Linked DNA regions of Alligator mississippiensis. The protein of the gene in region 1 binds, or shares a complex with, the protein of each later gene. Links are inferred from orthologs where the notes say so. Each region holds a gene or a part of one and is shown in the gene's direction. Other genes may lie near its edges. The genes, in order: LIMS1, RSU1 and PARVA.

Region 1 (9,909 bases):
GCCCGCAGAGCTTTCTCTATAAAAGTCTCCCTATTTTCTTGGGCAAATGCCAAAATGTTCAGCCTGGTTTTAAAGAATCCACTCAGGAGGGGTTTAGGAGCTTTGCAGTAGTAATTCTTCATGTACCAGCCAGCTGGCAAAGAAGCACACACTTTCTATTAAAAGCTGCTTTAATTAACATTAGTAATACGCTACTACCCACCTTTCATAATGTTATAGTTGGGGTTGTATCCAGTTCATTGTGAACCTGCATTTTCAAAAGGTTAATTTCAGTTCTTTCCTGTTTCTTACCATATCAAATGTAGGTGCCTCGTCTTAAACTTTAAAGCACCAATAAACTGATCCTCCACCTGTATCACTGCTGTAATGTCACCGCTCCCCCTGCCTGATACCTTCCCCTTTCCCCTTCTTAACTCTCTGTTATGTCCTTACCCAGTTCTTAGTGTTATCCTTTCTGATGCCCTCCCTCAGCACCAGGAATAATATTCCTATTTTTTTAAAGAATTTGAAGGAAAACTACCAGTTCCTTTTCCCTTTTTCACATCCTTAGTTATCTCTTCAGTTGTTGCCCTATGAATCCTTGATCCATTTTTTCTTACTCAGTTTGCGAACAGGGGAGACACCCCCTGCATTGCTCCTAGGAGACTGCTGTAAATCAGAGGAGTCTGTGAAACTGCTGATTGAAGCTTGGGCCATTTCAGCCCCTGCAGTAGTCTACACAGTCTGTAATCCCAGGGATACATGAATGGTTCATAGTCACCTCTGCCTCCTTCCCTTTTGTACTGTGACAAGCAGGGTAACCTGTCTCTTTGTTTGCAATGTAAACTACTGTGTAATCTTCTCTATCGTGTGTTAGAGTAGTAATACAAGCTTATTTGGGTTTGCAAATTAAAATGTTTCGTGCCGCTCTGCCCATCTGACTCCCACCGTCTTCAGAAGGAATTGTGGAGCAAAGTTTGTGTTCCCTCAAATTCTCAGCATGCAGGGCAGGGCCTGTGTTAATCTCCTAGCTGGTTTTAGTGATAAGACTACAAATGTAAAATAAACGCAGGGAGCTTCTGCTAGAACTCTAGCTAGACTTACAGCTACATGTCTGTTGATTTTACTGGATTTGTTCCTGAATACCAGAGGAAGAGAGAACGGAATCTGGGCCAAGAGGTTTTCAACTGTTTTACATGTGAGGCACCTCTCACTGGACTCAAGGCACCCCTCCGTACCTTTTATGAATTGAATGACACCTCATTTAAAAAACGCATTTATTTTATCACAGGGCTTCCCTTCTTGCAGTGAGGCTGGGTAGCTGGGCAAGGGGAGCAGCTAGACCCAGAGAGCTTGAGCTTGCTCTTACCTGCCTTATTTTCTGGGCTGGGGCACATTGATTGAGCATCACTGTGATTGAACATCACTGGCCTAGAGCTTTCACAGTTGAACACTCAGAGCTTACCTGCCAGAAAGCCATTTTGTTACTGAATGAAGAGGCCTAGGAACTGTAAAAGCATCTAGCATACAAAATGCATCTGACAGCTGGCCAGTTATTCCTTTATAATACAAGCTTGCTGCGCCTTCTGTTCCACTTGAAGATGTGCCTCTGTTATCCATTTGTTTATAACAGTGGAAAGGGAAAATGAGGGCCATGCATCGCTCTCCTCCCCAGATAGGAAAGGGGAAATTCAGGGAGGGGCAGAATGAAGAGACACGTAGGAGCCATTGGTATGAGGAGGGATTGGCTTTTGGGGTCCCACAGGCATACAGGGGGATGGGAAAGTAGCATACAGAGGGCTTCGTGGGCAAGAAAAATAGAGGGAAACAAAGGAATCTTGGCATTTCCAATGAGCTTAGCCTGTAGAAACAACAGGTGTTTATTCTAGTCCATAGGTTGGCAAGCTTTTCAGAGCATCAGGCTGAAATAACACAGCTCAGTTCCAGAAAGGCCAGCACTTCCAAACCAGCCGCCACTGCTACTTTTCTCCACCTCTAAAATGCTTCTGATATCCAGGCTTTACTCTGTGTTAAAACATTTAAATGGGAGGTGCCTTACCAGTACAAATACAGTTTGGCCCTTTTTGTGTGCTTTTGTTTGCACCTTGAACTTATTCCCCTGGATGAATGCTTTACAATCCAGGAGGATTTTTTAAATTCATAAACTGGGAAACTGTAAACCCTAATGGTGCCCAATGGGCACCATGTTAAGACTGTGCGGGCCGGGAGCAGTCCGAGGCCCTTTTTATTCGCGCGGCGGGCTGTGGCCAGCAGCCCGGACACGCCGGGTCGGGGAAGGCAGGTGGCACGCTAGAATTAGGCACAGACGCTTAATGGTTGATTTAAGATTGTTTACTTACACTGTAGATGGTCGTGGTGCAGGCTGGAAAACTTCCAGGAAAACTTCGCTTAAGTCCCAGTTTAAGGACTCGGACAGAGCTCTGGATTCACTCACACGAAGTTTGCTAGGCTCCGTGGAACTTGTGCGCACAGGGAAGGGTATGTCAAGGGATTAGGCGGCGACGGGGAGAGGCGAGAGGCTGATCAGACCCCTATAGCCTTCTTGAAATACACGCTGGGTCCAATAGGCTCCGCAGCGCTTAGAGATCTTCACGAGACGTGAAGTCTCCTCCTCCTGATGTTCGTGGAGTCCTCCAACTTGGGCGGAAACCACTCAAGCCTCTTATATGGCTAGCAAGCCAATCGCTAGCCACCACGTAGGAATAATTTAGAACTGACCAATAGTGGGGCACGAATTTGAATACAAATGGCGGGAACTCCTTGCAACGTGCATTTCTGTGTTGCAACCCTGCAAAGAAAGCTACAAGTGGCGGGAAATAATTCAGCAGTGCCGAAGCACACACAAACAAAAATCACACCCTTGGGTTGTGACAAAGACTACTTCTTGATGCACGCTAGCCCTGGGTTAATGATACAGTATCATGATGAAGCTTCTTTGCCTTCTTAGTTCCACAGGAAGGGCAGGATTAATCAATAAAAGAGTGGCACTAAGGCTTAGTAGAGGAACAGTGTGTGTCAAGATGGCACTAGGACCCTGCTCCCATCATCGCAGTTTCTGTCTGAAGCCACAGGGAGAGGGTTCAGCCTTCACTTGTCCCTACTGCCAAATGCTGCCAAAGCCGCATGTCTGCAGCTTTTGATTGCAGACTCCTGCTCTAACAGATTAAAGTACTTGTAAATGTTCCACAGAAACAGCTACAGATTTTGTCTCCTGTCCATGCACCTGCCACATATTTTGTTTCAAGATTACACTGTGGGGGCGTGGGAACGGGGGAGGAAAAATGTTTGATTCAGACATCATTATATGAAGTACAGGTGGTGCTAAGTCCTGTCTCCATTATACTGGTAAAGTGTCTTTTAAGTACTTTAAAAAAAATCTCACCTCCTTAATTAGTGACAGGTAGCACGTCAGGTTCAGTTTGTGTCTACATGACAGCAATTCTGGCATCAAAGCCATGTTGGAGTGTGTGACCCAGTGCTTCTGCTGAGCCATATGCTAAAGGCATGTCCTGTGACACCCCAGGCTGCAATCCAGTGAGTTTTTAGTCTGTGGCTAGAATGCCTGTAGGACCTGCCCACAGAAAACTGCAAGCTGCACATGGGGGAAGCATGCTCCAGAGCGTCATACAGCCAAGAGAAAGTGGATGTAGGACAGGCGCAAACCAGTTGCACAACATCTCTGTTTGTCCCTTACAGCAAAAACACAGCTTGGTGGCAGAAAAACAGCCAAGTGTCAGACTAGGCCTCTGCTTAGGGTGTCTTGCTGCCATTTTTAACCATACTCAATGTTGCCTCGAACATTATTTAGAGTCAGCCAGCTGTGCCGATGTTATTTTCAACATGGTCAAAAATTGTAGTACAAACAGGGCCTTTCCTTTTTTTTAAAGCCACTGGCATTTCCTAAGAAACAGAAGCTTTATTGGAGTTCCCTTAATATTGTCAGTTTTCTGTGTTTGCGAGCTCAAGTGTTCGTTCCTAGTTAGTCTCTCCCTGATCTCTGCCCTGGCTTTCTCATGCTACACAGTAACAAGCATAGATACCAAAACCACTCCTGTCGACAATGTAACCTGTGCGTGGCTTTACTGTGCATTTTTAACCAGTTGCTAATGAGAGTCTGTTGATTGTGACACATCACTTAGTTACTTGGGCTATCCATTTCAGTTTGAAAGTCCAAAGCTGTTAGAGGTTGGGCCTGTCATCTGTGTCACAGGTATCAGATTTTAACCAGCTAGAGTATGGCAAGAGAGCATAGTTACTGGCTGCCAGTCCTGACTTTATCTGACCTTCCTATGGAACCGAAAGATGCATAATCTCCTGGGGTGAGATAACTACTCTAAGAGGCCTGCCATTGGTAGAACATGGAAAATGATATTGTTTTTAAGAAGAATGTAGCATTAAAATAATATGAAAAAATGGTGTCATTCAGCATCAGGAATTGTCATCCATGTGATAACAGGATGGTTTTCTCTCTTCTCTTCCCTTTTCAGATTTCCAATCTGTATAGGACTTTTTCTATGAGTACAGTGCTGCAAGCACAGCCTGGTAACTGAAAATCAAGTTTGTTATCACTGTTTCTTACATAGTTAACTACACCTTTCTTGGCAATTCTGTTAATGAAAGGAAAATGGAAAAAAAACCCTCTACTTTTCTAGGAAGAAAATTGTTATGGGATCAGAATAATATGGTTGGTAGGAACCACTAAGAAGTCATTTAATCCAGCAATTGGTAGCCTTTTTGTGGTGACAGGCTGGAATAACCTCCACACACTCTACCTAGCTGCAATGCAACATAGCATGAATGAGGCCCTCCTGCTCCATGAATACCACTAGAGTCCTCTTGGATCTATAGGCTCTGCAGAGTAGACTGTAGGTTACCATATCCATTGGCTACAGCCCAGAGACTATAGGATACCAACCCCTGATCTTGGACAGCCCTTTCTGATCAAGGAAGACTCATGACTATTTAAACCAGAGGTGTCAAAGTGATCAGGCTCCATGGGCTGGATGAGTGGCACAGGACCAGTGCATAGGCCAGGTGAATAACTCAGGGCCAGCCCTGCAGGCCAAATGAGTCCCATGCCCTTCCTCACATGCTAGATACAGCAGCTGCTCCAGCCAGTCTGGGATGTGGATCACACACAGCATATGTCCCAAACCGGTTGTGCAGCACAGTCCTAGAGCAAGCGCCACGGCTATTAGATTTGGTGTGTGGCGGGCGGAGGGGTCCTGAACTGGCTGTGTGCGGGTGCTGCTTGTAGTGCAGGTCTCAGAGTGGTCTGCACATGCAATGCATGTCCTACACTGGCTGGAGCAGGCATCGCATTTGGCATGTCTTGGGCCCTACGCATGGGGCCAGTCCAGTGCACACCTCACGTGGTTCAACTCGAGACTCAGGGGCAGGGGCCAGCTGTTGGACCCCATGGGCCATACCTTTGATACCTCGGTTTAAACCATTTTAGCCAAGTGTTTGCCTAACTCTCAGTTAAAAATGTGTGGTGATGAAGGAGATTCCACAACCTCTTTAGGTAGTTTGTTCTAGTGATTAACCACCCTCTTAGTGAGAGAGTTCATCCATCTAAATTTCCCTTGCTGCAGTTTAAGTCCTTGTTGATCTATAATCTCAGACTACTTAACTAAGAATGACTCGTTAGTAGTGCAAAAGGCTATTTTTACAATTTAGTTTGCCAGAAGTTTAAAAACAATCTTCATCTAGTGACAAAATATTTCTTGTATGTTTTTCAGTGTTAGTGTTTTCATGATAAAGTAGCATTGTGGTCATTTTTTTTCTACCTAGTACTTTTTTCCTCTAGTAACTTGATGAGCTTGACAATGAATGTGTTCACTTGCACAGGTTTACTCATAAAATAGCTCTTCTGTGCCTGACTAGAATTCTTCTATCGGCAATAGATAGTGAAGCCCTGATGTACTGTCCAAGTTTGTATTACAACCTTGTAATGGAATGTGTTCCTCAGCTTCCAATGACCCCTTAGTAAATAGCAGCATGACGTTCTAGCTGCTCTGCCGCTGAGCTCTTAACGTGAAGCTCTACCAGAGTGCTCGACAAGCCGAGCTAACTGACATGACACTGTGAAAATAAATCACTTCCCTGGGAACAAGGAGGATTCCTGCGTATTGTTTCTCTGGATTTTTGTCTGCAGCTTCCTTTTGAGTATTACAGTGGATTTTTCATAATAGTTAACGAAGGATGGAATTCCAAAGCAGAGCTCGCTCCTATCTGATTCCAGAGACTGAAGACGCTCCACACAAGGTCCCTCAGGATGCCTACAATATCAGAGGAAATGAAGGCGAAAAACCAGTGTCAAAATTACAGCGTAGGCACAGTGAAATAAAAGTATACAAAGAGTTTTGTGACTTTTACGCAAGATCGTAAGTTCACTTGCTCAGCATTTGGATGTTATTTGACAGATCACCTTTTAACATCTGTAGTTGTCTTTACTCGTTTTATTTTGTATAGAATAGGATTGATCCATTCTCTAGTGCAATTCCACTTGTTGTGATTGATTAATTGGTAGTTTTCATCCCCACGTGATTTTTTTAATGAACTATTTTGCACTTGCAAATCAAATTATGTGTGTGAGACTTGGATATTAGTTTGTACAAATTTTGGGGGAAAAGGTACAAATGATCTTACTGGTACCATAACTTTCTATTTATTACATTTTGGTGGATAATTATTGATTACCATAACAAATAGTAAGCTTATGTTGCCATTAGGAAATTTTGACATTTCTCAAAGTAAAGTGAATTAAGTATTTGAGAGTTCTGCAGGGAGAAAAGAAAGCTTTGAGGGCGAGGAGTTTTTTGTTTGTTTGTTTGTTTCTGGGTTTTTTTGGTTTTGCTAAAAGCTATGCTTTTCGAAGTTTCTTCACCAACTACTTCTGGTTAGATAGTACTTTGTATCCAAGAAATGCTTGAAGTTAAATTCTAAGGTACAATATCTGTTCACCTTTTCTATGCAAAAGCTGTTGAGCTATAGAAAAGGTTGCAAGTTATACTGTGTTCAATATTCACACCAAATCTGGACACTTTTTCAGTAGATAGGGTGTGAAATAACCTGTTTCCCTTTGAAAAAGCACAATAGTTTTGACAGAAGTAGTTTATGAAGAGAGGCAGTTAGCAATACAGCTAGACATTCTTTACGTTTCTTATTTGTGCGTGCGTGCATGCGTGCACACACATGTACATTTGCTTGAAACCCTGTGAGAAATGGAATACTCTTGATCTGATACTCTTGAGGTTTATGTGGAAAATGCAGCTACTGTCACCCTCTTCTGAAAAGAGTTGTAGAATAGAAAAACCAGCAGATTACTAATAACCAGGCAAGTGCTGTTTTAAGCAGGGCTTGCTATTTTTCTGTGGTGTAGTGTTAGGTAGTAGTTCTCAGCTTCAGGACCGAACACAGGCATGGGCGAACCGGGCAGCTGCCCAGGGCCCAGACAAATAGGGGGCTTGAAAATGGTCATTTTTTTATTAATAGTATCATTATCTCTGGCGAAGCGGGGCCTGATACTAAAAGTTCGTGTGGGGCCACCAGGAGTCTATGTACGGTGCTGCTCAACTTCTTCAGATTTGAGGCACCCCTCATTAGACAGCACCCCTCAGAAAATGTTGGTTTTTACTAGTTTTGTGACTATAAAAAATACTAGAGCAATTATTCTGTTGCAAAGAACTCAAAACGACCACAGCAGGATAGAAGGTTTCTGACACGATTGATTCCTATTTGAAATCACTGGTTTTATCTTATGAATCATGTTGGAGCACCTAACAGTGCTAATATCACCCTTTAAAAGATCTCTCAGTTTCCTTGTTGAGACTTACTGGTATAAAGAATATAGTTCCTCAGTTTGGAACCATTTAATAAGAACTGTGTTAATTATTGTTGGCACTCCCTCAATTCAAGGATGATCTCTGCCAAGGCTCATTGATGGGTCTTGAGGTGATTTAGGAGTCTAGTCCTTGAATCACAGATCTGTTCACAATCTGTGTTAATGTAATACCATGAACCGACGCAAGTTTTGTACAGAGGAAGTCAGTTGGAGTTGAGGACACTAATACCTGTAAAGTAATACTCAGCATCCAGCCTTTTTGGCAGGCATGCCACAAATTGGCCCTGTGCTGTCCCTGAGTGTGCCTACATGAGGCATTTACTGTAAAGCTGACCAATTAATTCTGCAGTAAATGTCTCTGTGTCTCGACATGCACCCCTGTTAGGATGCAGGAAACTAATATAAACTCTGCAGCAGAGTATTTACAAGTCCTACCCTGCAGCAGTTTTTTGTGCACAGCTGCACATGTGTAGACTCAGACCCAACTGCCTAGGGCATGAGGGTGCTTCAGTGCAGAGGCTGTCTGCTGGCTTGCCCCACACTGGAGCACACTTGTGCCCTATCCAGCCCCTGTGCAACACATTGAGCCTGGTCAGAGCAGCTCCAGGCTGGCAGGCTGACCCCCCTGACTCCCTGCCAGCCGAGGCTGCTCAGACCTGGCTCGGTATGCTGCAGTTTGGGCACGCATCTAAACCACGTGCCAGGGAGCTTCCCAGGAGCAATAAACTTGGAAGCAAAAAACTGCCGAGTTTATTGCTCATGTGTAGATGTACCCCTCTGAGTGCCATTCTAATCCCCATGCTCTGCCTGGTCTGGTGCTCTGTTTTCTGCTCCCTACCTTGTACTTTGCCCAGTCTCCAGCTCTGCTTTCTGTGACTGTGCTGCTTCTCCTCTCCCTGATCTGCCATGAGCCATACACACAGGCCGCCTGTGGCACTTGTGCTGCAGGTTGGCAACCCTTGTTATAGAGGATGTTGCTCTCCCTTTATATGGATGCAACATGACTTCCTGTCAAACACAGAAATCATCTTTTTACTTACTGAAGAATAGAAACAGTTTCTCTTATAAAAATACCTCAGTCAATCATCTTACCAGAAAATTCACATCCCTTAAATGGGTTTTATCTATACTCTATAACTGTTCTGCAAGTGGTTTGCCAAATATTCTTAAATTGATCATTTGCCCTGTATTTGCTCCCCACATAAAGGTACAGGTAGAGAGCTCTGCCTCAAAGACTTTTGTGAATTTAGGTGTAAGCAGGGAAACAGCGTAAAGTCCGAGGGCTTAAAAAAATTAGAGCCAGGTCCCCCAGTTGACAGATATGGAGCAATGCTGATTTATTGCAGTTGAATATTCAAACCTAAAGAGTGAGTTTGGTTTCTGATTTTTGCAGATGTTGCATTAACATTTTATTACAAATGCCTAGGAACCCAGAAGTACCTAGGTTATTTACGTGGGTGGTTTTCAAGTCTCTGATTCAGATTCCATGTAGCTGGAATTATTTTGCAAAATTAATATTTCTTAAGAGCACTCTTCTGTGCATTGGTTATTTCTGCCACAGAAGCTAAGTACTATGAATTCCACTCCTGTGCATTGATGCCCTAGATACTTTGTACTGGTTTTACATGCATTTTAGAGCAATATTCTTGGTTTCATCTCACAGAGGAAAACCAATTTTAAATTAGTGATAAGCTGGGCTCTTGTTTTGCATAACCATTATAATTTTATTTTCATCTTCTGTCTTGTTACAGAAAACTTTACCTGTTTTTTCCCTTCACACAAATCTGCAAATATGCTATTACTAAAGGGCTTGGACGGGGGATGGATTTAAATGACATTTTACTATTTTCTGTCTGTAGAACTGTCTCGGCTCCCATTGAAGTCAATGTATAAAGAGTTAGTTAGCTGTACTAGTCTGAAATCAGGCACATGGCAAGGCATGATGGTGGCACTTTAAACACTATTATTCAGAAAAACTTCAGTGGGAATTGGATAAGGCTAGGTGGCTTTTGAGAAGAAAAAAAGTTAAAATCAAGGGATCTGGAAGTTTTCTTCTTCTTTAT
Region 2 (9,795 bases), on another chromosome or scaffold:
CTATGGGGAAGCGGGGGGGCAGGCATAAGCAGAAGGCAAAGTGCTTGGACCCTTCCCACCCCACCTGCTCCCCCCCCCCCCACAGTGATGGGAAGATGAAGTAAAGACAACTGTCCAATAATTAGGTTCTAGCAAATATAAATACAAATATGAATATAAATACAAATATAAATTATAACACATTTATACATTTTCTTTGTATAGAATCTAATATGGATGGGTCATCTTAAAATCAGGGTTGTCTTAGATTCAAGTAAATTATGGTAAATTGGGGACCTGCAATATCATCCTTAATGAGATTGCACCTGCCTGGCTTCATAGAGCCTCTCCCAGGTAGCTCTTGAGCCAGACCTCTGAGCCTGCTGTGGAGTCAGTTCCAGCTGCCCTGGTGTTTGCTTGTCTCCTCCCCAGGGAAAACCCTGACACTCACTTGCCATGTCTTAGGTGTTAAGTTCAGTACTGGGGTTCCCCTTGGTTGTGGAAGGACATGCTGGGAGTTGTAAATGGTGGATGCTCCAGGGGCTCCACCTCCCCGACACTCCTGCCATGTACCAGCCTGTTGGGATGGTCAGATGTTGGTCAGTCTGACCCTTTGTTGTGTGCCGTAGCCCCCCAGCATCCCCAATCTCACACTCTTGACCTCGGAGGTCAGGTGCTGTGATGATTTAGTTGGCTACCTCTTTCCTATTGGCTGTGGTCTGCAGCTCATCAGCCATGGACCTGGCGACAGTTCAACACCCCCGCCCCGATGGGGCTTCGTGGGTATTGGGTCGACCCTAATGGTGGATTGGCCCTGTTATGTCGAGAGTGTCTGAGGAGCCCTGGGGTGCTCAGCCCCCAACATTAATCCTCTGGCCTTTTCTCCCAGCCTACAGGGCATCAATATGAAGACAAAAGAAAGTTCAAACTTAAACTTCAGGAAGGGCCTGGGGCCTCCTCCCTATTCATGCGTCCTGCATCTGAAGGTGCCAGTCATCCCTTGGTGTGATCCCAGGTCTCAGCTCACTCCCTGGGCCCAGTGCTGAGTGCTCCTTCATTGGGGAATGGACCCCTGGCCTTTCCCCTCAGGAACAGGAGGGTTCCTGGTCAGCCCAAGGGCCTGCCAGAGTGAGGGACTCACAGCCTCCTCTCTGCTGAGTTCTCCCTGCCCTTTCCCTACTACTGGCTTTTATCATGCCTGGGCGGCATCTTCTGATGTTGTCATCCTCCTGCGCTGGTTCCAGCCATATAGTAAAATGACTGATGAACCATGCAGGAGGCTTGTTCCTCTGCAGCTTGCCCTCACTTGCTGCCTCTGAAAAAAGCAAATACACCCTGCTCAAGGCGCTGTTTCCTTGAGGTTGCGGTGGGCTATCCCCACCATGACCCTGATTAGGGGAGAGGGGTTTCTGCCCCTCTCTTTTCATCCCCCTGGGACAGAGATGTTGGGAAATGGCTTCAATGGTACAGTCAAGGAATTAGAATCTCAATTCAGAAGCTCTTGAAAGTGCTTCTTTCACTCTGCATTTATGGTGGAGTTGTCTTTAAAGAGCATTGTTCCATCCTTAGACCTGAGAGAGATGGCTTTGTCTGCTTGGCTGATAGATAGCTTTGATTGTGCTGAAGAAACTATGCTGACCATGGTTTGGGGTAAACTTTTGCATCTCTTTTGCTTTGTCCTCCCACCACTTGTTCTTTCACTCTTGAATTTTTATTTGGTCTCAGCTTTAATTCTAATATAATAAAAGCCTTAGTCTGTCTGTCCATAATGCTTTATTCACACTCTGATTTGTTGTCTTGGCAGCCAATCACAATGCTGACTGAAACAACCAATCAGAGTACTCCAAAAGTGTTCTGGACAGGAGGTGGTGGTGGCACAGCAGAGCGCCGCCATGATGGTGGGGGCAGAGGGAACAGAGGAAATGGAGTGGCGGGGGGCAGGCCTTGGTCCTGTACCCCCTGCTCCCTGGAGGTGGTGGTGGCATGGGGTGCTGGCCAAGGAGGACAGAGAGGACGGTGGGGCAAGCTTCCTCCCCACCGGCTCCTGGGAGGCGGTGGTGGAGTGGGGTGGTGGGTGGCAGCACTCTGTCCCTGCCTGCCCCCCATTCCTGATGGACAGTTGGCTAGTGTGGCAATAAAGGTCTTGCTTCTGTGTGGAGTTCATGTCATTTCACCAAGCTTCAAAAACTTGCTTTTTTTCTGTCAATGACAGCTTGTATTCTCATCAAACCAGTCCTGATGTTCCTTTGTGGAGAAGCCTAAAGATTCTTTGCATGTTTCATGGATACCTTTCTTGAGGCTCTTCCAGTGATTGATGGCATGAAGATGATCAGGGAGGTTGGATAGTTTCTCGCTGAGGCACTGCTGAAGATGATTGCTCTTTGAAAGGTCTTTCAAGCACTCAATAGTGAACCTTTTCTTTGGTTCATGTCATTTTGGGGTGATATGGACATGAAAGTGTATCAAATAATGATCCATCTCAGCAGTCATCTGTTTTGGTCATAGTTCTGGTGATACGGACCTTGTGACAGTTCTGGGCACACTCTATGACGTAGTCAATCAGGTGTCAGTGTTCTGAGCTAGGGTGCATTCATAATGTCTTTCATCTGTTGCTTTAGTGGAATAAGGAGATTGTGATGATGAGAGTATGTTCCTAAAACTAGCTCAGGAGAAGAATTACATTTGAATTGACTTCCTTTCCAAGTGTTCCTTTCCATTGCTCAGAGTCCATCCTCACTTTAGCATTGAAATCATCAAAAATTATTGTCTCTCTTCTGGGGACAAATGACAGGACTTGGTCAAATTTAGAACAGAATTCTTGTTTTTGTTTCATCATCTGCATCAAGTGCTGGGGCTCAGGTAGTGATGACTGTTGCATGTTGTCTGTTAGTCAATTGAAGAGGAAGGGTTATGAGATGCTCATTGATGCCAACCAGACATTTCAGTATCTGAGTAACAATCTTGGTCTTAATAGCAAAACCAATTCTATAGAGGGGTCTGTGTTTTTGGCTTTTCCTTTTCAAAAAGAACGGTGTAGCCATCACCATGCTCTGTAAGCTGCCCCTCCCTTGCACATCTGGTCTCATTAAGAGCGGTGACATCGATATCAAATTGTGCAAGTTCTCTGACCACAAGTTCTGTCCTTTGTTACAGTTGGTCGCTGTTAGAGTTGTCCATTAGGGTGCGGATGTTCCAGGTATAGGCCTGCTCAGTCAGACTGGAGCTGCCAGTTTGCACACCTATCTCAGTTCCAAGTTCAATATGACAATCATGGACTCCACACAGGTCTGTAACTAGGAACTTCCATTAATCAATAGTTCCTGTCCCTGTCACCACTCTCCCATCGCCATTGGATATGCTGTTGAAGGACAATGCCTGCATGTGTTTTCTTTTAACATGATGTTGTTGTATATCAGCAACCACAAGATACTTTGCAGATAGAAATCTTTAATCTGACAGCAAGGAAACCTAGGAGGCCAACTATTTCTATTTCACCACAGCCTTCATTCAATTTGCAGTGACTGTGAAGTATTCTTTATTCATCTGCCTGCTCTACCATCAAAGACTTTTATTTTTATTTTTGGATCCTAATCACCATTCTACAGAATCATTTTTAGTTACTTTCTCTTTGGCTTACTTGACAATTTCAATATTCCTATAAAGCAGAATAGCTTCAACTGGACCCAGATGATATGTCCAATTCAATGAGATGGCCTTTTGGGTTCTTGGCAGAACCATTTAGAGCAAGGGTTGGCAACATTTTGCAGTGGGGGTTGCATTAAAGGAACTTAGCTCTAAGTGTGGGATGCTTCCAACTTGGCCCGCTCTCCTTTCCTATAGGTTTGAGGACATTCTTAACAGCGCACATGGAGCGGTGAGTTGTGATGACTTCCATTTTGCTTAGCATTACTGCCTGGAGAATCAGTTTCTCATTGTTTTAGATGCTGTATATGTAACACAAGCCATCTTAAAAACAAAAGCCAGTGTTTTTGAGGCTGTGAACTCACTTCCAGGGTCATGACCCAATTAGGTCATCTTGTGACGACACCCAACTCCACTTGCAGTCCAAGCCCATGTGCAGTAACTGAATTTATATGGGCCCAAATGGGATTGTGGCCCCTAGATTAGGAACCACTAGTCTAGTGTTTAGGATGTCAGGTTAGGTCAGAGCTGACCCAGGTATGACCTCAGCCAAATTTTATATTAGGTATTTACTGGAGCAGGAACTAGAACTCAGGTCTCCACTTTCAACCTCCAGGTGAAAGTCGCAATCATTATACTAGAGTTCTGGTCACCTAAATTCATATCTTACATGTTTGTGCTGGGTTCTTTAACCTCTGAATACTTGAATAAAAAGGAATTCCTGCAGCTGTGTTTTGATGTTGAAACAGGGTTTATTTAGGTACACAGGTCCTCCAAAAAAGGTTTAGGGAAATGGAAAAAGGACAAAAACAACAAGTCATTAGTGTGAGGACACTTTAAACAGAATAACCACCTCACCTCTGGCCTAACAGTTAGTATCCGAAGGAAAATTTAAGCAAAACCTTTCAGAAGATGGGAGGAAAATAGCATAACTTTGCCAGACACACAAAACTGCAGACTTAACATAGGTGATGGTTTTATGACTGATCACACTTAACCTGTCCCTCTAACCTCTCTGTGCTCCACAAGTAATAGCTGGTCTCAACTTTTGAGTGGTCATAGTATTTTACAGAATTACATTCATCTTTCTCAAACATTCTTTACCTGATGTGCAACTATTGTAATTTCTCTCCATTTCACAAGTTTCCTGTGCAAGTCACTCCTGTCATTTACATAATAAGGTTAAACAAAAGTATTTAGCTCAGGCTGTATCTGCTTCTTTCCCAGGTGTCAGAAAAAGAACATCATGCTTGAAAATTTGTCTGAAATCTCCCCCCGAAATAGCTGTTGCCATTGTTCTAAACAACTGTAGCCTTTAAAGAGAAAATGATAGAAAAATATTTGGGGTGGATCCAAGGTGGATGCAGTGGTGCAGTCACACCCACTTCTGATTCCTGCTTTACCCAAACCAACTGCCTGGCCCTGGCGGCCTTGTTTCTATTAAGGCAGCAGCAAGGGAGTCACTTGACTTCATGGCTCGCTATAATCTACCTAATTCCTTCTGATCACTTCATTCCACAACTGTTAATAACTTTCTCTTTTCTTAAATGGTATTAATGTTCCACTCATCAAGCTGTCCTTTCTTCAGCCATTCTGCTGCCATAGCTGCTCCTGGTTACGTAGCTCCTATTTGACAGTCCTGCTGTCTGTTTTTAACTCTAGATAAAAACGTTAACTCAGGTTTGGAGATAACTCTTACTAAAGCAGTGGATGCACTGCCAAGATGCTCAGGAAGGCTAGATTTTGCTTTATGAATCTGCAAGGTGATTTAATTCTAACAACAGAACTGATGAAGCAACATCTTTTGAGTGTCTTTTGCCTAGTTTGTTGTGGTTTTAATCTCTATTATTATGTAGCAAATGAATGCACAGTCTAATAAAATTATACTTGTTTTTGTATTAACTGAATAGTATAGCCCCAGGCTCTATTGTTAGTAAAGCTAGTTTCTTTTTAACCGGAGAAAAGCATGTTTTGTTACATGTGACCATGCACCGCACCACCACCCCCTCTCTTCCAAATCCTGGACCTCCGCTGAGTACTCCTGAGAGCAGAGGTGCAAAGGCAAAGCAAGTGCCATTTACTGGAGCTGGCCCAGTAAACCTTCTCATGGGAAGGGGCAGGAGCCTCCTCAGCATGAAGGCGGGTTGGTGGTTAGGGCGCATTTTCAGCAGGGGGAAGCTGACTCTGCCCAGAGCGGGATCCCGCTGGTCCCAGAACCCCGTCTGACTGCAGGACAAGGGCCAGCCCGGGGGACGCCACCCCCAGCCCGAGCTGACATCTGCAGGTCCCTCCCTCCGGGCGGGGGCCGGCTCCCTGGCCGGGCGCTGCCATTGGGCAGCTGGGCTCCCGGGCCGAACTTTCCAGCCAATGGGCGCCGGGCGGAGGTGGAGCTGCGGCTCTGATTGGCCAGTCGGGAGCGGTGCATTCCATGACAGTGGGAGCAGCACCGGCCTGGAGCGATTCGCCTAATATGGAGCTTGGAGCGGTTCGCCGCCTCCGCCGCCACTCCCGGGTGTGGGGGCCGCTGCGCATGCGCGGGGTGGGGCGGGGCCTGGCGTGCATCGCACTAGGGCAGCGTTGCGAGACGTGACCCCCGAGCCCGGTGAGTGCAGCGCGGGGCGTTCGCGCGAGGGGCTGTGGGGTCGGGCCGTCCCGTCCCGTCCCGTCCCGTCCCGTCCCGTCCCGTCTCGTCTCGTCTCGTGACGCGCGTGTGCTTCGCCCGCAGGCCATGTCCAAGTCGCTGAAGAAGCTGGTGGAGGAGAGCCGGGACAAGAGCCAGCCCGAGCTCGACCTGTGCGACCGTGGCGTCTCCAACATGCTGGACGTCCCCGGCCTGTGTAGGTACCGCCGCGCTCGGCTGGGCCCTCGGGGCGGCCCAGGCCTGTCCTCCTCCCCCAGGGCGGGTTCCAGTGGGAGGCCCAAGTTTTGTGCCCTTTAAAAAAGAGCCCACAGAGGCGCGGCCCCTGCAGCCACTGAGCCAGTGCCTTCCTGGTCTTCAGGGCCCATCCCACACCCAGGTTGCTCCATCTGTCCGAGACTTGGCGCGCTCAAACTCGGGGACGATGTAAAAGCCTGTGCACGAGTCCCCTTAAAAATCTACGTCTTCAACCTGTCCTGTGCTGACTGCTCCCTTCTCTTGGCTTATTGAATTGTATTTTTACGTGTCTGACATAGCAGTCCTAAATTGGAGAAAATACCCAGTGGCTTCTGGTAAAGTGAAGGGAAGTGCCGGGAATCACTTGGCGTCGGGATTTTGAGTCGCTTGGTGCATGGTCCATCTTGTATTTGCAGTCCCCAAAACATGGTTAAAACTACATTGTTAAAGCTCCAGCTCTGATTTGGGCTGCCTTGTACAACTGTTTGTCTTAACTCAAAGCATAGGAGCAGTATCGCTGACTTCAGTTTGGAAATGTTCCAGTGGGTGCATTGATTTCAATGGGAGCAACTTTTATGGGCTTGACCTGAGTTTGGCAAGTACTGAACCAGGATCTAAATGTACAGTATGTAGTTCTGTTTCTGCAAAGGCTTCCAGCCATCTTTTTTGATCATGGAAGGCTTCATGTTGGGTTCTGAGTTAGAGCCCGATTCTGTATTTCATAACCTAGTGAATTGCTAGGGTGAACTACACTGCCCATTAGGTTTCTTATAACTACTGTACTTATAAAAAGGGAATTGCTCATTGCTTTCTCATCACTATGTTTTGTAATATGTATTGAATGAACACATTGTAATGGGTATGTGTTGTATCAACTTTACAGTTCATTGCTTTTGGAGTTAAAAGGTGTTTCTGAGCTTTCTGCTGTGAACCATGGTGCTAAAGAAAAATAACTTGGGCCATGAGCAATGTAAGCCCAATGCTATTAGTAGCAGCAGTGCTGTGTTTCTGCAAAGAAGCTCTGTAGGTGTAGGGGTCTCCCTGTCTGTCTTTTGCACTAACACTGGTTGGTACTAGAAGAGTTCAGATGATCTAAAAGTCAGAATTGAATTGTTCATAGTAGGACAGGCCAGTTAGTCTCTAATTGGTTATCCTGTCCTACTATGAACAATTCAGTGCAGCCAGGCTGGGCTGCACTAGCAGGGAGAGCTCCTGTCGACCTGCTCTGTGGCCCACTGGTGTTGGCCCCGGGACACCGGTGTGGGCCCTGTGCACCTTTATGCTCCCAGTGCCCCCCAGCCCCACGGTACAGGCCGGGGGCAGCGCACAGCCCCCACCCCCTGCTCGCCAGCAGGGAAGGAGCTGGTGCTGAGCACGGGGAAAAGTGGCCCCTCCTTGTGGCTGGCGCTCCCCACTGCAGCTGCTCGTTGCCTGGGCAGGGCTGTCCTGAGCAGGCACAGGCAGCCCTATGCAGGCTGCAAGCCGCTGTAGTGCGAGGCGGGCAAGGGGCCACTTTTCCCCCATGCTTAGCACCAGCTTGGGCTCCTGGCTTACCCGTTGGGGCTGCGCACAGCGGCAGCAGCTGCAGCACACCCCCCCCCCACTCCCCCGCTTGCCGCGCTGGGCAATGTTTGCCACTGCCTGTGGGCTGCCCAGCGCGTGAGCTCTGGATGGGCAACAGCAACAAACACTGCCCAGTGCAGCAAAAGCAGGGTGGGGGCTGCAGCTGCTGCCAACATGCGCAGCCCTGACGGGCGAGCCCAGAGCCAGCATGGGGCCCAGGCTGGCAGTGGGTGTGGGTTACAAGCTGGAGCTGAGCGCAGGGGAAAAGCGGCTCTTTGGCTGCCCTATGGTCGGTGCCGTACTCTGCAGCCACACACAGCCTGCTTGGGGCTGCCTGTGCCTACTCAGGACAGCCCCATGTGGGCTGCGAGTGGCTGCAGCAGGGAGCGATGGCCACAGGGTGGGGGAGGGGCCGCTTTCCTCCAAGCTCCTTCCCTGCCTGGGGTCCCCCCACCGCCCACTTGAGGTTCCGGCTGGTGCAGCCACATGGTCCCAGGTCAGAAGCCCTGCTGGTGCTTCCAGCTGTGGGGAGGCAGGGCCAGGCTTCCCCTGGGTCCTAAGACCCTCGTTTCTGTCATTTTTGACAGGAACCAAGGACAGATCAATATTCATTTTCTAAATATTTTTTTAGGGGCCCCACAGGTCGGATAGAATGGCCTGACATGCTGTATTTTGCCCACCCCTGATCTAAGGGGTCAGTGCTTTCCATGTTTTCCTAGTAAATCAGTAAGGAAGTGGAGCTGGTTGACCCATTTCTGGATCTCTGTGTGGTCACTTCCTAACCTGGTCCTTTTCATAATATAAGGATACTTGATATCTGTATTTTCCTCAGCTAGCTGCTGAAACCTTTCCCTGCAACCTTAGTTGCTTTCCAAAGATAAGGCCACACCTCCAATCCTATTTTCAAAGTCTAGTAAACTACCAGTGTGCTACATGTTGAGAGCATCCAGGCAAGGGATTTATGCAGAATAGTTAGTGCATTGGAAATTCACTGCAAAGTAAGGCAATATGAGAATTTCCTACAGAAACGCTCTAGGTTAAGTGAATTATACAGTAGAACCCAAATACTTTGCAGGGTTAAGTTCCTTATCTTATTTCCCCGTATTGCACTTGAAAATAAAGGTTGTGAATTACTTGATAAATTAGAGAGCTGTAGCACATAGTGACACAGGACCCTTGAGGTGATCCAGCTATATATGATGGGGATTTTATTTCATAGGGTTCCTCTTCTCAGACTAGCTGCATGGGACCATTGATGAGCTCCATATAAGTGGAGAAGTGGCACCCTTTTGAAGTAAAAACAGCAGCAAACTTTTGAGTGGCTCCTCTAATTCAGCACCCAGCTGTGAATGAGATGGGTTGCAAATCACCCAGATCTAAATGAGCAGAATTCTACTCCATCAAAACGTTGGCAGTAACACATCTGTAGCATCTTCCCTTGGCTTATATAGTAACCTTGCCTTTGAGTATAGGCCCATTTTTGTGTGGAAGCTATTACGAAAATGATCTCTCCTTTTATAAACTGATATTTCATTTTGGACTTGAAGGAAACTTCTCTCAATTTAATATTTGAAGCTTATGTGCTGAATTATTAGGAAGATACAGTATTAACTAGGGATAAAATATATCCTTCATTGTTTTGAGCACCAAAAATCTGTAGAGAATAAGAGAAAGTATCTTAAGGCCCTTGGTACACATTACATTTAAGACATGATTAACCAGTTAATCACATCATA
Region 3 (9,769 bases), on another chromosome or scaffold:
CCACTGCTACTACTTGCCACTTGCCAACCCACTCTACTACTACTGCCCCAGTGCTCCCAGGCACTCACTGTTCAAATGGTTCCAGATGACAGCAGCGGGAGCAGTGCAGCACAGACCATCAGAGTGGAGCTGCTCCTGACAACTGCAAGCTCATTCAGAGCCACCTAGCCACCCCCATCTCCCCTGCCCACTGTATGTTACCCACGGTCACTGACACCTGTCCCTGCTGCAGATCCTGGAGCCCCTCTGCCAGGATGTACTGCGCTAGCTCAACCCATTTACTACTGGTCCCAAGTGCTTTTACATGCCTGCCACCACCATCTGAAACCATCTGGGCAGTGAGTGCCAGGAGCAGCAGGATAGGGGTAGTGGGGTGAGGACTGCAGTGGGCCACATGGGGGGAGTGGGCAGGTGGCAGTGGTCCCCATCTGGTGGGGGCTAACTGATGGCTGGGTCAGACCCCACCTGGCCCCCTGGGTGGCCCCTGCTTTTTCTCCCTCCCACTTCCCCTCCTCCTCCTCTATCCCACTAGCCCTGCCCTATCACTAGGATTCCCTTCCTTGCAAGGCCAGTCGGTGGGCCCTGAAACATATGAAATCAGGCCCAGGGGCTGCAAGGGAACCAGAAAATTACTGGCCCCCACGTTCCCACTTGCAACCCCCTGCCCCTCCCCAGCTGTACTGGAGGAGGCCCCCAGCCCCTGTCTTCAGGCCCCGTCCCCTCAGGCTCTTTTTACCCGAAAGGCTGCAGGAGGCAAAGTGAATCTGAGCCAGCTCTGGCTGGTCTCAAATTGTTAGGCCCCATCCCCTTCCCCTACCCCTCTGGACAGGGCTTAGGGTTTGCATCCTTTTTGCAAGCAGCTTGTTGTAGGCTGGAACTCTGCCAGCCTGCAGAAAGCTGTTTCCAAAAGGGGAAACCCATGTTTTCTCACTTAAAAGTGGAAAATCTGTGTTTTTCTCTTTTAAAGAGGTAAGTCCATGTGTTTCTACAAGAAACAGAAAACCTTGATCCTTGGTTATGACAGACCTTAAAGTTCGCTTCTTCTGCACCTGTGCTCCCCTCGGCCCCGTATACCTTGGAAAACTTAAGGTGCATTGATATCTTTATCATATGGGCACACTGGAAGGCATTTTTAGAGAAATTGCACCAAGACTTTAACTTCCATCTGTCCATCAAACTGAGTCTGGAATACTGTACCCAGCCAATTAATTTCCTGAACACCACAGTGAAAGTTTGCAATGACCATATCACTACCACAGTGTATTGCACAACCAGCAACCAGTTTACTGTTAGGAAGGGAACAGTTGCAGGCCAAAACTAAGTGTTTTTGACAATCTTACCCTTAAGAATCAGAAGAGTATTTGATCCAAAGACATTTGAATCAAAATTTTAGTTAGAAAAAAGATTCCGAGTTCTAATCTAAGATCAGTCACTAATTTACTGCATGACCTCAGTCCATCTCAACAGTTTGACAATTCAATTGAACAAATGCAGGAAAGCAGCAAAAACCATATGTAACATCAGAGCTGATCTTTCTCATGAATCAATAATTTCAGGTTATAGGTTGTCTTATTAGTTCTGCTGCATCAGTTCTCTTTCTTATTGGCTCTATACCATGGTAGGTATATAACGTATTCTACCCCTCTGAGTTACTTTGGAAAGCATCTCAGACAAAATCTTTCTTTGTTGTCATCTTATGCAATTCTAACATGAATCACTCTGAGTGATATGACACTGTGGTTAAATCAATAAAACAGTGGTATGAATGACTACCCCTGAAAAATGTGTGTGTACCTGTAGGGAAAAAAACAACCCCACACCATATTATTGTAATTGTATTTATGGTTAATAATTTACGTCAATAAAAGCTGGGAGTGTATGCAATTATAGCGTGGCTTCTTATAAACATTAAGATATCCTTTACTGTGGGGATGTGCGCTTCAGAATCCACTGCAGGATGCAAAATCTGCCTCGGTGGGTGCCACAGAATCTGGTGACCTGCATTTGCCAAATTTTGCTCCTCATCCCACCTCTGGTATCTTTATAAAATCCTATGTTTACATCCAGATGCAGCCAGGTGAGCATAAATCAGGGGTGGGCAAAATGCAGCCGGGGGCCAGATGTGACCCACCAGTCCATTCTATCTGGCCCGTGGGGCCCCTAAAAAATTTAGAAAATTAATATTTATCTGCCCTGGGCTGCCTGTCATGTGGCCCTCGATGGCTTGCCAAAACTCAGTAAGCAGCCCTCTACCCAAAATAATTGCCTGCCCCTGGCATAAATGGATCCCTTTTCACAAAACTATTCTACTTGTAAATGCCTATGGCACAGTTGCATGCATATACAATAGGTAGATATGACATTTGTTTCTCCTTCCTTTAAAAAAGTTTCTATATTCCTAAAAAAAAAAAATCTGTTCAAAGCAGCTGGTGACCTGATCCAAACAGTGTGTAAATAAATAAAACTTGTAAATATACAGAGTTTATTTAGTAGCATGTGAAACTGTAGACCATGCAAGTAACTGTTCAAAATGACAAATGCAGCGAGAGCAAATATAAAGAAATGTGGTATTCTACCAGCCTTCTAGTCCACTTTTCTGTTAAAAGAATGGCACTGTATGGTTGATTAATGTTAGTCTCTAGAGCATGTACAAACAACGTACAGTAAATATTTGTTGATGCCTCCCTCTCATCAGATACCTGTTACTGATTTGTAAAAACACAACAATTATTAACTGATTTAGAAATATCCTCATGGTAATTTCATTTCACTTACTATGCCTAATGGATAGCCAGATATTTGCATGAAGTGTGTGTGGCTTTTTGCTTAAATTGTTAATCGAGTGATTAAACGGTAAGTGAAAGTAGCACATCCGTAAGACATTAATGCTGTTCCAGTCCTGGGCCTCTCCTGAATCAACTGTCAATCATGGTAAATTGTGTGCCTCTGACATACTTTTCTTCTAAGCTACTTGTTTGCAAATCTAATAGGAGAACTGGAAAACGATGTTGTTCCTCACCAGGAACATGTTTCATTTTTCATGTAAGTTTGTCCTGTCACTAAGGTTTTTTTTTTTCTTTTCTTTCCTACTAACCCGTACATTGCCATCTTGTCATTCTCATACGATTACAAAGTAATCACATATACATATATGTTGATGGGTGCTACAGAAATGTGGTGGTAGATGGAATTTTGCTTATCTGAGATTACATTTGGAAACCTAAATGTTAACCTGAAGAAAAGTCGATGGTATCCTCTTAGTGTTCTTTGCCTTCTTCCTTGGTCATATACGCTGGAAAAATTCATCGAACTGACAGAATTCGTTTCACAATTTCCTAATCTGAGCTTCGTTCCCACAAACGTGTATGCATGTGCTTCAGTTTTGGTACCCAAGTAGTTCTATTGATTTAGGTTAATCCCACGTGCAAAGTTCAGTATCTCTATGGGGATGAAAGATTGGGGCTTTAGTTTGTGGCCCAGAACCTATAGCAAGGGATGCAGCATACAAATATAAATGGGATAAAACAGAATCTTCAATTGTGACTGAAGAGCACTTGCAGGATTGGGAAGCTTGGAGTTGTGCGGAGTGGGAGGGGATGTAGAGCCAGGGCAGTTGGCTTTTAGCTGCCTTTATCTATCTTGAGCCAATCTTGATGCTGGTCCAGTCCCCACTGTAAATCAAAGAAGCCCGATGGCTTTTGTAATGTAAATAAGTTACTAGCAATGCCAAGACCACAGGGCCGCAATTTTACCTTGTCCCTATATATGCGGACTGGAAAAGCAGGTGCTTCTTTATATAGGCGCTGACTCCATGGGTGCTCTGGGGCTCAAGCACCCATCAAAAAAAACTGGCAGGTTCTCAGCACCCACAAGCCCCACACAGCTGTTTTGGTTTTACATGTTAGATCTCTGTGGCTGCTTGTGGATGTTAAAAAACCCAACCAAACTGCACTTTACTGGAAGAAGCAGTGCATTACTTCAACCTGGCTCTGCAGTGTCTGTAAAGATTGGGTGCTTCAGCGGGGCTTTTAGGCAATTTTAGCTAAAGCTTATTCAATAAGCTATTAGATAAAAGCCCCCAAAAAGCCCCAATAAGCACCTGATCTTTACCTCAACCCAGCTCGCCCAATGCCTGTAACGTGCTGTCTCTTCTAGGCGTGCGCAGGGCTCGGTGTGGGAATGCAAAAAAAACCAAACCACCCACGGCAAAAACCAAAGTCAGCGCTTATGCTTATTTACACCTTCCCTCACTACAGTGGTCACTGACCTATGGCCTAGGCCCAGCTTTGGACAACTTAGGTAAAAAGAGGATACTAAGGGGGTTGCACACCCTATATGTAATCTATTTCTATTAGAAAATTCTATTCCAAGACTACTGAAAGTCTGCCAGGTGTGAAAGTCTGCCACTGCTGTCCCAACCACCGTATACCTCAGCATATTATAAAGCCAGTGGTACTACTGTCTGATCCACTAGGAAACAAATGCCTAGCCCCCTCTAAGTTATGAGGAACATGGTTGCTTTCTTATTTGTAACGGGTCAAAAGCTTCACAAAGGCCCCTCCTACCCATTACATATATTGTGAAATCCACTACTTAATCATGGCATAAATTCAAACTAGCCGCACACGCGAAGTAAGATGGGCCACAAGTGCAAAGTACTGACCCCACAAGTAACTGGTTAATCGTGCCGCCAATTTAGACCAGTCATTTGTGGACTGGGCAGTGTCCGCTGGCTCCTTGGACTCGCTTGAGGGCTGGTCCAGTGTGCTCTGCTCTGTGTTGCGCCCTTGGCACTCTTCTTTTGAACCTGTGACCAGCATGCCAATCCCCGTTTCTTTAATTATGATTTGTCCCAAGCCTGTCAGCACCTTTTCCTGTAGCCTGGCTGCCCAAGGGAGGCCAGTAAGAAACTTGGTGGGCCAGGCTCATGAGATCAAAGGTGACAAACTGCGCTGTGCAAAATAACAATTGCAGGGTAAAAATGACGGTCCAGCTATAGAAAGAGCCAACCCACAGTAAAATCAAGGCTTGAAAACACAGAGCAGCTCTTTAGTCCAGGTTTAATTTGAGGCAGGGCCCGAAGAAGCACAGGCCAGGGGGGCTGGGGGTGGCTTCTGCCTGGATCAGAGGGGCAGTAGATCAGGCAGGATCCGGGATCTTGTTTCGGGACTGCGAAGATCTCCTTCCAGCGCCAGACAGCCGCCTGTGGCACAAGCAATCCCGGCCTAACGCCCAGCCCAGCCCGGCAGCGGGGGCGACAGGGGCTGCGGGGCAGGTGCGGAGAGAGCAGCGCGCGCGGCGGCGACAGCGGCCTTCCGTGGCCGGGCGGCGGCGGGCGGGCGGGAGGGAGGGAAGGAAGGAGGGAGAGCAGGAGCTGCCTCAAATGCTTGAAATAATTCCGCTTCCGTTTGGAGCAGGGCAGCCAGCCGCTCGCTACATCTGGGCGCCCGGCCTACCTCCCCTCACGTCGGGCGCTGGACCGGGCTGTTTCGCCCCGCGCCCCGCTCATGGCAACGTCCCCTCAGAAGTCGCCCTCGGCGCCCAAGTCCCCCACGCCCAAGTCTCCTCCTTCTCGCAAGAAAGATGACTCCTTCTTGGGCAAACTCGGAGGCACTTTGGCCAGGAGGAAAAAAGCCAAGGAAGGTAAAAAAACCAAAAAAACAAAACAGGCGGCGGGGCACAGCCCCGCCGGGCTGTGACCCGCAGCCCCCCGGGGCGCGGGGCTGCGGGTTGCCCCGCGTCACGCCACAAAAATGCTGGGGCGCGCGGGCTCCTCGGCGGCTGCCTGCGGGCCCTCCGGCGGGCGTGGCAAGGCGCATCGCCACGACCGGGGCAGGGGCAGGGGCAGGGGCAGGGGCGAGGAGGCTCCACCCCCCACCCCGCGCGGCCTGCAGGCAGGGCGCCCACCGCGGCCCAGGGCGCTCCTCGGAGCAGCACGTGGGCGTGCGGCGGGGCGGGGCGGGGTGGGGCGGGGCCGCCAGGCGTTCTAGAACCGCGGTTCTCTCCGGGACAGTGGGGGAGGGGTGCTTGGCAGAAGAGGGGCAGATGGTGATGAAAGGGTTAAGGGGGGGAGGCAAGGGTTTCTTGGTGTGAGATCTTTTATTGGACCCGCCGTGGAGTTGGGTTAAAGTTAGACAAGTTTTCCGGTGTCAGACGCTCTTCCTCAGGTCAAGGTGCCCTGCAGTGCTGCAAGCTTCCCGTTGCAGTCACCTCTTCCTGATGGATTTGGGCAGGGCTGGGACCCTGACGCAGAGTGAGAGCTTGGTAACTGCATCGTCTTCAATCAGCGGTTCCCAACCTTTTTTTTGCAGTAACCCGCTGCTGGGAGCAGAGCGTGGTGGCGGCAGCCCAAGGGTGGGGACAGGGGAGCTCCTGGCACTAGGTGTGGCTCATCCTCTGTGTGAGGCACCCCCGCCACTGCCCCCACAACCCTTATTTGGGTCGTGACCCGAGGCTGGGAATCACAATCTTAAACCAAACATTTTCCACACAGCAATGAAACCACATGAGAGACTGGGAGTGGTTCAGGGACAACTTGCCAATGCCCATGCTGATTCCTACCATGGAAGGACCCACCTGACAACTAGAGTAGATGGGGAAATTATGGGGCAGACGGCTGTAACAGGTGCCTGGACAGACCTGCAGGTAAGTGATTCTCCTGGGATAGTTAAACCAGGTGAAGTTCATTTCACACTAGCAAGGTAATACTGCTCCATATCAAGCATCTGCTTGGGGACTTTCTTTAGGTCCCTGAGGAAGAATGTCTTGTATTTGAAAGCTTGTCTAACTATATTCCACCTACAGAGTTGGTCCAATAAAAGATACCGCCCAAAGAAATCCTTGCCTCGCATAATTTCTGAACCATCATGGCTACAATATCACTCTTGCACTAGGCTCGATTGTTTTCTTGGACTATAGGACCAGAGCTGGGGGGGTGTAATACTGAATGAAGGGGGCCTCTGTTGAAGTCTTCACAGCAATTTGCTGAAAGACCTGAAGTGCTTCATATAAAGCACCCAAGCAGATCCCTGATATTACTGTGCTAGTGTGAAATGGTTTAACTGTCACAAGAGAATCACTTATCTGCAGGTCTGTCCAGGCACGTTAAAGCCATGTACCCCATCATTTCTGTATTTGCTCGAGTTGTCATATTGGTCCTTCCATGCTAGGAATCAGTATGGGCATTGGCAGGTTAATTCTTGTGGGGAATGTGAGTTAATTCGTGTAGGGCTTATGTTTGGTTTAAGATGAATCAGTTGTCAGGCTCTAACTTGGTGTATGGGACCCAGCCCTGCAGAGTTCCTGCTGGAACATGTGAATACAAAAGGGAGCTTGGAGCACGCGTACCTTGATCTGCAATATGTGCGAATATGACCCGGGTATTTTTTAAAAAGAGATTATGGCATTAATTTAAAAAAACCCAACAAGTTTCAAAGCTCAAGGTATTGTGTCCTCTGCTTATCCTGTCCAGGCAAGTTTTTGCAACACCTAGTACATAGGTGGGTTGATTGGAGAGGTTGATGTAGCATCTAAGCCTTGAGCAGTTAATAAAGGCTGAATATAAAAAAAATCTGATTCAGTTGTTGAATGTAATGTTCTTCCTTCTTGAAAGGTCTGCTCCTCTGTGAATTAACTTTGCCAGTAAGTTGAATACCACTGTCGTTATGCAAAGGGACGCGCAAATTCCAAGTACACAGTAGTCTTTTTTTACCAATATTTTTGCTGATAATTTTCACTAATATTTATCCCCACTTTGATAAAGCAGCCTTGTTCAAAATTATACAAGCATTGTATGCCTGAATCTGTTGCCTAGTTAAAATCAAGCGAGACTGAGAACTGGAGTTTGCCCTCAGTTCAAACATTAAATTTTCGAAACATTGTGAGTGTAAAAGAGATTTCATCAGTGTCCTTGAAGTTAGAAATTGAGCTGTTTACTTCTAAACACTTGTACCAGCAAACTTGAAAGATACGGCATTTACTATTTGTGGGTTATATTGCTTAGAATGGCAAAGATGTGGTCAAGCTGCTTCTGTTGTCATCAAAGTTAAACATCTGGTTTGAAGAAAGTAATTTATTTTTATGTATGTGAGTGGCATCAGTGTGTCTTCTCACTAAGCTGCAGGTGTGGACCCACAACAGGTTTTTGTTGCGTGATGTACATCAGTTTTGTATACCAATGTAATTTATACCCTGCTTTTGTTCAGAAAGTTGACAAACTTCCCTGGAGTAGCAGATGTAACAACTGAACCATACCTAAATGTTATCAACTGGGAACTGGTTCACCATTGTTGCTGCTCAGAAGTCTGCATCTATAGTTCCCTAGCATTCCAGGTAGAATGAGGGAAATGCTTGGACCCATGTTTAGCATTCCCAGGGGCTTGAAGGGCATAATGATGGGCTGCAGTCAAACAGGGAGTAAGGACGCACTAAGCTGTTTATTTAACAAATAGTGCAAGGGAGATTATTGATAAGAAGTGCCAACAAAAGGAAAAATAAAGGAACCGTAGAGTTCTGGCTGCTGAGTGACCGGTTGCAGTGGGGGGGGGAGGGAGGGAAGTAAGGAATTATGTAATATGGGATGCACCTGGTTCACAAGTGTACTAACACATGGTGCACTGATTTTCCAGGTACACTTCTGAGCCATTCCAGGCAGCTTTAAATGTCTGTTTCAGGTTTAAACTACATTTAAACTGTTTTAAATAAGTATTACATGGGTCCATACACAGGTCGGTAGCATAACTAGAGTGTGGCAACCAGGGCAGCTATCCCAGGTGCTGACTTGAGGGGGGTGAAGGGGAGTGGAACAGAAAAAAAACAGTGCCACCACAGCCATATCATTGCATTGGAAGCACAACAGCAGCCAGAAGTTGCTGCTGTCCCCATGTGTTGCAACTGCCCCAGGAGCCTAGCTGTGGTGTTATACCTCCATCAGTGGTGCTCAACCTATGGCCCACAGGCTGGATCCAGTACAAGGAGCTGTCATCTAGCTGTGGGGAGTTCCAGTAGCATCACTTTAGGGAGCAGGGGGAAACAGCAATCCCAAACTCTGCCTTTGAGGGGACAGAAAAATAGCCACTGCCACAGTGACAGGTGACTTCACTGTCACGATTGGCATGGCAGCAGCCAGTGGTGCTCCTTGCCCAGCTGCCCTGCTATGACTGGGGAGCCTCAGGCCAGATGATATGGCCCCACGTGCTGGATCAGGCTGGTGCACAGCGTCAGTCCATGCCTGGATCTTGCATACAGGATCATTCTGTGGGCATGATCCTTCCACAAATTGATCCTGTGTGCCAACCTGGTCTGGCCCATGAACTGGCCCTGCACAACTTATTTGGCCTGTGGGGCTGGATAAGTTGGGCACCACTGCTTGTAGTCTGCTCTTACAGGGTGTATACACACATATGAAGTCCACTTAAAGCGACTTAACTAAGTCGACTATGTTGACTTAAGCCATGTCAGAGCGTACACACATACAGCTTCTTGACATGGAGGCAGCCATCTTGTGAGCTAAGTTGACTTAACTAATACGACTCAAGATAATACACCTTGCAGGCGTATTATCTTGTGCTGCTTTTAAGTCGACTCTGCTCCACATAGAGGTGTATGCTCTGACAGTTAAGTTGACCTAAAGTTAAGTTGGCTTAACTATCAGAAAATTAGTATGCGTGTATGCACCCATGGTACCCTGTCATGAGGTCTCAAGAGAGCAGGAAATAGCCAGAGCAGAGCTATCCTCAGTGAGTTGAAAATGATTAGAGCTGTGGACACA

The links.
Region 2: the proteins of LIMS1 (region 1) and RSU1 are in contact, whole or in part, in a crystal structure (PDB 7LT9), measured with the Homo sapiens proteins. The link is inferred for Alligator mississippiensis from reciprocal best matches to the Homo sapiens genes LIMS1 and RSU1. Residues at the interface, in NP_001180417.1 of Homo sapiens: Cys252, Phe253, His254, Cys255, Asn256, Leu267, Asn268, Lys269, Ser279, Thr280, Cys281, Asn282, Thr283, Glu293, Phe294, Asp295, Met296, Lys297, Cys303, Lys306, Phe307, Pro308, Glu310, Leu311, Arg314, Leu315, Lys317, Leu318, Ala319; in NP_036557.1 of Homo sapiens: Asp21, Ser23, Asp24, Gln44, Val46, Ser48, His49, Val67, Asn69, Phe71, Asn72, His90, Asn92, Met95, Glu112, Asp115, Thr117, Tyr118, Arg137, Ala138, Tyr140, Ser142, Asp143, Ile161, Ser163, Arg165, Asp166, Glu184, His186, Gln188.
Region 3: LIMS1 (region 1) and PARVA share a complex: the UniProt entries of both Homo sapiens proteins name them as parts of the heterotrimeric IPP (ILK-PINCH-PARVIN) complex. The link is inferred for Alligator mississippiensis from reciprocal best matches to the Homo sapiens genes LIMS1 and PARVA.

What each region holds. Positions count from the first base shown.
Region 1 is NC_081824.1:349,549,252-349,559,160, forward strand, and holds the start of LIMS1 (LIM and senescent cell antigen-like-containing domain protein 1), read left to right. Parts: upstream 1-6,056; 5' UTR 6,057-6,204; coding exon 6,205-6,386; intron 6,387-9,909. UniProt on the Homo sapiens protein: Within the IPP (ILK-PINCH-PARVIN) complex, binds to F-actin, promoting F-actin bundling, a process required to generate force for actin cytoskeleton reorganization and subsequent dynamic cell adhesion events such as cell spreading and migration.
Region 2 is NC_081828.1:180,988,449-180,998,243, reverse strand, and holds the start of RSU1 (ras suppressor protein 1), read left to right. Parts: upstream 1-6,120; 5' UTR 6,121-6,223; intron 6,224-6,346; 5' UTR 6,347-6,349; coding exon 6,350-6,458; intron 6,459-9,795. UniProt on the Homo sapiens protein: Potentially plays a role in the Ras signal transduction pathway. Capable of suppressing v-Ras transformation in vitro.
Region 3 is NC_081825.1:201,149,717-201,159,485, forward strand, and holds the start of PARVA (alpha-parvin), read left to right. Parts: upstream 1-5,413; 5' UTR 5,414-5,507; coding exon 5,508-5,643; intron 5,644-9,769. UniProt on the Homo sapiens protein: Plays a role in sarcomere organization and in smooth muscle cell contraction. Required for normal development of the embryonic cardiovascular system, and for normal septation of the heart outflow tract.